Linked DNA regions of Caenorhabditis elegans. The protein of the gene in region 2 purifies or fractionates together with the protein of the main gene of each other region. This does not show direct contact. Each region holds a gene or a part of one and is shown on either strand. Other genes may lie near its edges. The genes, in order: ddx-17 and rha-1.

Region 1 (3,926 bases), on a different chromosome or scaffold from region 2:
TTTCTTCGACTCGATGTGTAGATTTCATTCACAGAGCACCAGAAGGTACTCTCTGCCACTACACATCTGCAACGTATGATATGATAACGTCACAAGACGCTGCCAAAATCAACTGCATTGCATTTCGATCAATCCTCTCGGCCAAATCAAGTTGGTGTAACTGTAAAGGGTCAAATAAATCACAAATATGGCTGAATACCATGCTATTGTAACGATTGTCAAGAAAACTGGAAGCCAGAAACTCCTGAAACCGACTTTTCTAATATGTGACATCTAAAATTTGACCCTTTCTAGGTTGGCGCGACAAACTAACCCAATCCACGCGCGGCAACATCGGTGGCCAACATGATTGGTGTTTTTCCTGCTTTGAATTCTGAAAAATGTATTTATAACAAAATAATTGGTAACTTTAACTAACCTTGAAGAACCCAGTCTCTTTCTCCTTGGTTTTTGTCACCGTGAATACAGAGAGTTGGCCATCCATCGCGACGCATAGCACGAGTCAATTCATCGGCTTTCCGCTTTGTCTCAACAAAAATAATGGTTTTGCATTCCTTTTGATTCATGATATGATTGAGGAGCTCCATGAGTTTGGCTTGCTTTGCATGTTCTTCGAGAATATCGACGACTTGTGTGATGTTGTGATTGGCAGCGAGCTCAAGGGATCCGACGTTGAGGAAAGCAGCGTCTTTCTGGAAATCTGAAGCCAACGCACGAACTTCCTTTGGCCATGTGGCGGAGAACATGAGTGTTTGTCTGTCTGGCTGAAAAAATATATATTAAAACACAATTACAACAGATTCAACTTACGCGAATCTGTCCGATGATTTTCTTGATTTGTGGTTCGAAACCCATATCAAGCATACGATCGGCTTCATCAAGAACCAAGTAAGAGCACTTCTTCATGTTGGTAGTTCCGTTATCAAGGAAATCGAGAAGACGTCCCGGAGTGGCAACAACGATATCAACTCCACGCTCGAGATCACGAGCTTGTGGTCCTTTGGATGCTCCTCCGAAGAGACAGGTCATCTTGAGTCCTAACGAGTGGCAGAAATCGATTGATACTTCTTGAACTTGTTGAGCCAATTCACGAGTTGGAAGCAAAACAAGAACGGCTGGTCCTTCTCCGCGTTGACGGTGAGCCTGTTTTGTGATGTGGACGAGAGCTGGGAGCATGAAGGCAAGTGTTTTTCCGGAACCAGTTTTGGCGATAGAGATAATATCACGTCCGCTCATGGCAATCGGCCAGGAGATTGACTGAATAACTGTTGGTTTCTGGAACTTTCCGTACAAAAGCTCGTGAATCTGTCCTGGCAATGGTGCCTCGTTGAATTCGAAAACCGGGCGTGGGACACCACGGCCTTCGAGAGTAACTTGATTTGCTGATACCCATTGATCAATCTCATACTGCTCACGGCGGGATACGGCTGCATTCTCGTGATAGAAATCCTTCTCAATCGGAGTAAGGTTCTCGGCAGACCAGTCGACATCGCGAAGGCGTCCTCCAGCTGAACCATTGGATCCTCCACGACCTCCTCCACGGCCACCGCCGCCATAACCACCTCCTCCGTAGCCTCCACCGCCACCTCCTCCATATCCACCACCACGACCACCGCTGTATCCTCCGCCGCCGCCACCACGGCCTCCACCTCCATATCCTCCGCGGGATCCACCACCGCTGCTTCCTCCATAGCTTCTAGAACCTCCGCTGAAAAAGAAAAACAATTATGCACGTCAATAATCGATAAGTCAACTTACTATCCTCTGTCTCCCATTGTCTTTTTTATATGAGTTTGAAATGCGAACTTCTGGTCGTGCAACGGCTGCTGCGAAAATAAATATCGACTTCGATTAGTAGACCTCTCGTTTGGCTCGTCTTCCTTTGATACAGAAGCACGCGCTGACGAATTACAAGTTTTAAATTGATTCGCAGCGCTGAGAAAACGAGTAGCAAACGAGAACGGACGGATTGAAGAGACCCAAATTTTCGACGAAATTCGGTTGTTTTACCCTATAAAACACAAGTGGGGCCAAAATAACCAAGTGAGTATTTTGCGTCACACCGTGCAAGAAGGGGGAAAAATAATGGGAAAAACAACTTTTAAATCGTTCGAAAAATCGAATTTAGAAAGAAAAAACAGAAAAAGATGAAAGGTTTTGGGACAAATGCGAGAGACGAAAATCAAAAAAAGCGGGAGAAGGAGGTGCAAAGCGGTTTCGCTGTGAGACCCACCGCACGTTTAATGTCATGCGCCTTTAATCCAGCTGTACGCAGTGACGTCACGAAATACTGAAAGCGTCACGTTTTCTAGCGAATCAGCTGATATTGATTTCAAAAATCTTGAAATTGAATTATTCAATTTTTTCTCGTTCTAAAAAGTCCAAAAGCTTTCAATAATATATAAAAATCAATAATTTCGTAACCCGATGTCTGGCATTTCTGGTAAATTCTAGAATTTTTCCAATTGTCATCATTTCTTGTGTTTAAAAGTCTATATTCTCTCGTTTCCTATCAATATCGTTTGCTTTATTCAGCTATGGCGGAGTTCCCAAATCTCGGAAAGCACTGTGAGAGCACAGTTTGCAACAGACTTGGTAAGTCAACATTTAAAAAAAATTAATTAAATAAAAAAATAATTATTTCAGATTTTCTTCCAATCAAATGCTCCGGTTGTGGACATTTCTACTGCTCAGAGCACTTCACATTTGAGGCTCATAATTGTCCGACTGGCTCAAGAATTGTAAGTGTTTGAAAATCTTTTTTTAGATTAAAATTATTAAATTTCAGTCCGTTCAAGTTCCTATTTGTCCTATATGTGAGAAGCCAGTTCCAACGCCGAAAGATGTCAATGTTGATCAACAAGTAATTATTTTGAAATTATTCCTGCAAAAATATTGATAAAAATTGTTTCTTTTTCAGGTCAATGAGCACATTCAGAACAATTGTCAGACTCCGAAACGTGCAAAAGTATATTCAAACGCGTGTACCGTCCCAAAATGCAAGAAGAAAGAGCTGGTAGCCATGAATTGCTCAAAATGTCGAAACAACTACTGCCTTTCTCACAGACACGAGCGGGATCACAGTTGTGAGCGAAAAGTTGGCGAAATGAAGATAAATCAGAAAAAGAGCTGGACGGATTCGTAAGTTTATTGTTTTGAATAAATCGAATTTCAAGGTATTTTTCCAGAATCACATCAATCGCGCGTTCCCGAATGAATCCATGTTCCGCACAAGCAAGAACAGAGGTTTGTATCTATTTTCAAAAAAACAACTAACTAAATCACAAATGTTTCCAGGGAGATGAAGCTCTGGCTCGTTCTCTACAACAAGAAGAATACAATCGAGTTGCACCGCCGCATCAAACAAGAAATTCCAATTCCAACTGCACCGTCTCATAGCATCCAATTTAGTGTATATTTATTTCCCTTCTCATATTTTCTGTACAATTTGCATTTCTCTTCAACCTTGTTCTAGTTCATATCCGTGTCAAAACTTTTATTCATTTCACTTCGCCAACTTCAGTCCTACTAAAATATTGATTCTTTGTACAATGTTGAATACTTTTTCTTTTTTCTTGATATATGAAATTGTTCACCTGCTTTGAACTGTTGTTAATGGGTGTTCTGGGGTTCACAAAGTAAAATAAGAGTTTTGCAAACTTTTGACTGAAACGAAATTTGGACTTTTCAAACATTTTTTACCTAATTTTGAGAAATGCATCTTTTGGCTCAAAGGTGAGACTCACTGTGTAGGTCTCGACGCGAACAAAAAATATTTCGCGCAAAGGCGTGTGTTCCTTTAAATAGTACTGTCGCCAATTAATTTTTGCAGTTTCTACAGTATATCCCACGTGGTGTCAGAGTGTCCCATATCGGTTTGATCTTCGTAGATCTACGGGAATAGCGGTAATTTGACGCAGATTTCT
Region 2 (3,926 bases):
TAGAAGTTTGCGGAATCGATCCACTCAGCGTTCTCGGGGCTAAAACTCCAAAACGTCCTCCTTCATGGTTATTCTTAATTATTGCTGGTGGACAAGGTGCCATGCTGCGGTTAGTGCCAAAGCCTCCACCACGTTTACATGCAGGTTTTTCTTTGTGAATTCCAACAGAAATTATATTACCTCCTCCAATGAGTTCTTCTGCTGAACCAAGTGGTGCACCACGGCCATCCACCCCTGCTTGGCCTCCGAATGAACCTAAAATTGCGATAGGGAAGTTAATAGGAACAAAAGGATAAATGGACACAGTACAAGCATAACAGATATAAACACTTACCACCAACACGGGTTCCCGAAGTTGATCCGAATGAAGTTTGAGGTGGTGGAGCATTACTGGCTTTTGGTCCGCCGAACATGCCTCCTCGGCTAATTCCCCATCCATTTGATCCTGTAAAAATAACTGTTAGGAAAGAAGTTTCTCCGATGAATCTTACCTTTATTCTCTTCATTTTGATCCATTTCCGAGCCTGATTGCACCTTTTCGGTCTGAAAGAAATTAATATATTCCGTTCCGCTGAAAAAATGCACTCGGTTTCCACGCACACATACAGGGAAGAAGCATGAAAATTGTGCGAGGTAGAAGCAAAAAGCAATTGTACAGTGCAAGAGAAAAGAGCCGAAACTCTCGGAACACGGACGGACAAACAGACAAACAATCACGAACACACATAGACATTAACAAATCCGACCACCTTTTCTGGCACTTCAAGCCCTTCCGATCGACACTGCTCGTCGAATGCAATACCCCAATCAGCCATTTTCGATCTGTTATGAGAACTACGATAATTCATTGTTAGTATTCAGGACAAATTAAAGATCGGAACACGAAATTGAAAAGAAAACATGTTGAGGCGAAATTTGGGTCGACACATGAACCCGAGAAGGGAGAGATTGCAGAAAGAAGATAGTTCTTTGGTTCATCGACAGGGTAGGAAATAGTTATTCTAGAAGTGTTTTCTCTATTTTGCCATTGATAATGCATGTAAACACATTGTTTGGTCAGGGAAGTACAAAATCTATCTTCTTTTTAGGGCATTTTTCCACAAAATATATGAAATTTAACTTTAAAATGTATTTTAAACATTTGAAGTTATAAAAATGACGCACACATGAAAGATAAATAGAATAAACAAACAAAAAATTAGGATCGACGCCAATAAAAACATCTGAAATTGAGATGAGCAATTTCGAAAATGGGTACGGTTGACAGTACACCGTACACAGTAATGCACACAATGCACCAGATCATACGACAAACATATCTTAATATTTAAATTTAGGATTTTTAACTTGCAAGTATCATGATATTCTTGCTAATTGTTATTTTTTAAAGAAAATGATCACTCACCTGTCTACTGGAATGGCTTTGAACAACGCAAAAACACCGCATGACCATCAAAAAGAGTTACGCGACAAAACTTCAGAGATAATTTACCTTTCAACGAAATTAAATCACGCCAAAGAAACATGTGTGAATCTGGATAATGAACGTCAGAAGTTTCGAGAAGTTAGCCGAAAAATCAAAGAGGTTTGTCTGTAAAACAATAATGCAAACTGAATAACTTATTTTCAGAAGGATATTGATCCAGTTTGGATATACAATGGAACGTGCTTCCTTCAAACAAGCCAAGCAAATAGTTTGAATATTTTGGAGAAAGATACGAAAACTGTCGAAGAAGTTCGTGGACAGATTCAAGAAGTTATCAAGGTAAAATAAAAATATTAATTCGATAATTGAATTGTTTTTTTACAGAAAGACATGGACACATTTCTCAAACTACACAAGAAGCGAAATCTAGAAGAACGTGGTTTCGGTTTAAAGCCATTGCTCAAAGACGGAAAATTAACTGATTAAATTATGAAATATCTGAATACGGGTCAATGAATTGATATTAAAATACTTAAATTTGTATTGTTATCCTGTTCTTGTATATCCGAGTTTAATTTCTCGTCTCTTTATTTGAACTATTCGCGACTTTTTAAATCTTGTTAAATATTATTTTTAGATGTCCAGAGACGTCAAAGAATTTCTATATGCTTGGTTAGGAAAGAATAAGTATGGAAATCCGACGTACGATACAAAAAGTGAAACCAGGAGTGGTAGGCAGAGATTCAAATGCGAACTTCGGATCACAGGATTTGGCTACACTGCTTTCGGAAATTCCACAAACAAAAAGGTTCGTGCTACTTGGGAAATCAGTTTTTATCAAAAGTTTTCAGGATGCTGCTACCAATGCTGCTCAAGATTTCTGCCAATACCTAGTCAGAGAAGGAAAAATGCAACAGAGTGATATTCCGACTCTAACGTCTTCGAGTCTTGAAGCTTCTTCCACGTGGCAAGATTCTGAAACTGCTACAATGTTTTGTGGTGGAGAAGATGGCAACTCGTTCCAAGAGTCACAGCAACCAATTCCACAAAAAAGATTTCCTTGGAGTAACAATGCATATCAACGTAACGAGGGCACACATGAACAATATATTACACAGAAAGCAGAAGAAATTGCTGCATCGGAAACTGTTGATCTAAAATCAGAAATTCATGGAGGATGGACGATGGAGAATTCAAAGAAAGCGCTGAATGAGTTTCTTCAAAAAATGAGACTTCCACAGGTTAACTATGGAACCAAAATTCGAGAATCAAACACCGTTAAGTAAGTTTTTCATATTAGAAGAATTACTTCATTTTTTTCATACCAAAATATTTACAGAACAATGGAGACGACTGCCCAAATCTTTGTTCCTCAAATCAACAAAAGTGCGTTCTTTTATCGTCTTTTATCCAAATAAAAAATGAAAATGTTTACAGATCTCGTTGGAAAAGGTACTGGATCTAACAAGAAAGTTTCTGAAGCGGCGTGTGCAATGAATATCGTTCGTCAGATGTTCCATCTCAATATTATGCAATCGTACAGTGGACCAATCAAGAAGAGTAAAGTCAGCACGGTTAGTTTTTCTGAGTTTAAGTTGTTTTGAAGTTTATTATATTAATTTTCAGCTTCCTGAAATTGCGATTTCCATTCCAGAAGATCTCTCAACTCGAGTGACAGAATATGTTCGGTCGTGCGGTCTTGAGTTGCCAGAAATCAACGAAACGAGTGCAACTCCGGAAGCTCCTACCTCACTGCTCACGGATGTTAAACTAGCGCAGTTCCCTGTTTCAGAAATTTGTTCCGCTTCGAATATCTCCTGGGCACCTCCTCTTCAGAATTGGAATCCATGGAGAGCTTCGAATATCGATGAGGAACCATTAGCTTTTGTAAGTTTTTTGATTCAAGCGAATAATTTAAAATTAAATTAAATTCAGATGTCAATGGAGCAAATTAGTCAGAGAATAATGGAAAAAGAGGATTTCAAGCGAGGTGAAGCACTTGACAAAATAACAGCTCAACGTGGAGAACTCCCTGTCGCCCAGTATCGTGAAAACATTGTACAAACCGTCGCAGAAAATCGTGTTACACTGATCAAAGGAGAAACTGGATGTGGAAAGAGTACTCAAGTTGCTCAATTTCTACTGGAAAGTTTTTTGGAAAATTCTAATGGAGCATCTTTCAATGCAGTCGTCTCTCAACCTCGTCGTATTTCTGCAATTTCACTGGCCGAACGTGTCGCCAACGAGCGAGGAGAAGAAGTTGGAGAAACATGCGGATATAATGTTCGATTCGATAGTGCAACTCCTCGGCCATATGGATCTATCATGTTTTGTACTGTTGGAGTCTTGCTGCGAATGATGGAGAACGGATTACGAGGAATTTCACATGTAATCATCGATGAAATTCACGAACGGGATGTTGACGTGAGTGTTGAAACTGCACATCAAATTAAAAATCTTTTTTTTTCAGACTGACTTTGTTCTTATTGTGCTCCGCGAA

The links.
Region 1: the proteins of rha-1 (region 2) and ddx-17 fractionate together in Caenorhabditis elegans (co-fractionation; one large-scale study listed by BioGRID). This does not show direct contact.

The regions. Positions count from the first base shown.
Region 1 is NC_003283.11:14,010,042-14,013,967, forward strand, and holds the start of ddx-17 (RNA helicase), read right to left. Parts: upstream 1,901-3,926; 5' UTR 1,776-1,900; coding exon 1,759-1,775; intron 1,709-1,758; coding exon 811-1,708; intron 765-810; coding exon 419-764; intron 374-418; coding exon 314-373; intron 161-313; exon of another isoform or gene 1-160. Other genes in the region: aip-1 (AN1-type domain-containing protein), read left to right, coding at 2,538-2,595, 2,647-2,741, 2,789-2,863, 2,921-3,141, 3,189-3,246, 3,298-3,399.
Region 2 is NC_003280.10:8,881,797-8,885,722, reverse strand, and holds the start of rha-1 (ATP-dependent RNA helicase A), read left to right. Parts: upstream 1-2,063; coding exon 2,064-2,234; intron 2,235-2,277; coding exon 2,278-2,708; intron 2,709-2,765; coding exon 2,766-2,812; intron 2,813-2,863; coding exon 2,864-3,000; intron 3,001-3,052; coding exon 3,053-3,313; intron 3,314-3,361; coding exon 3,362-3,850; intron 3,851-3,896; coding exon 3,897-3,926. Other genes in the region: ddx-19 (RNA helicase), read right to left, coding at 1-255, 335-445, 492-543, 750-815; T07D4.5 (P53 and DNA damage-regulated protein 1), read left to right, coding at 1,394-1,585, 1,631-1,765, 1,811-1,912.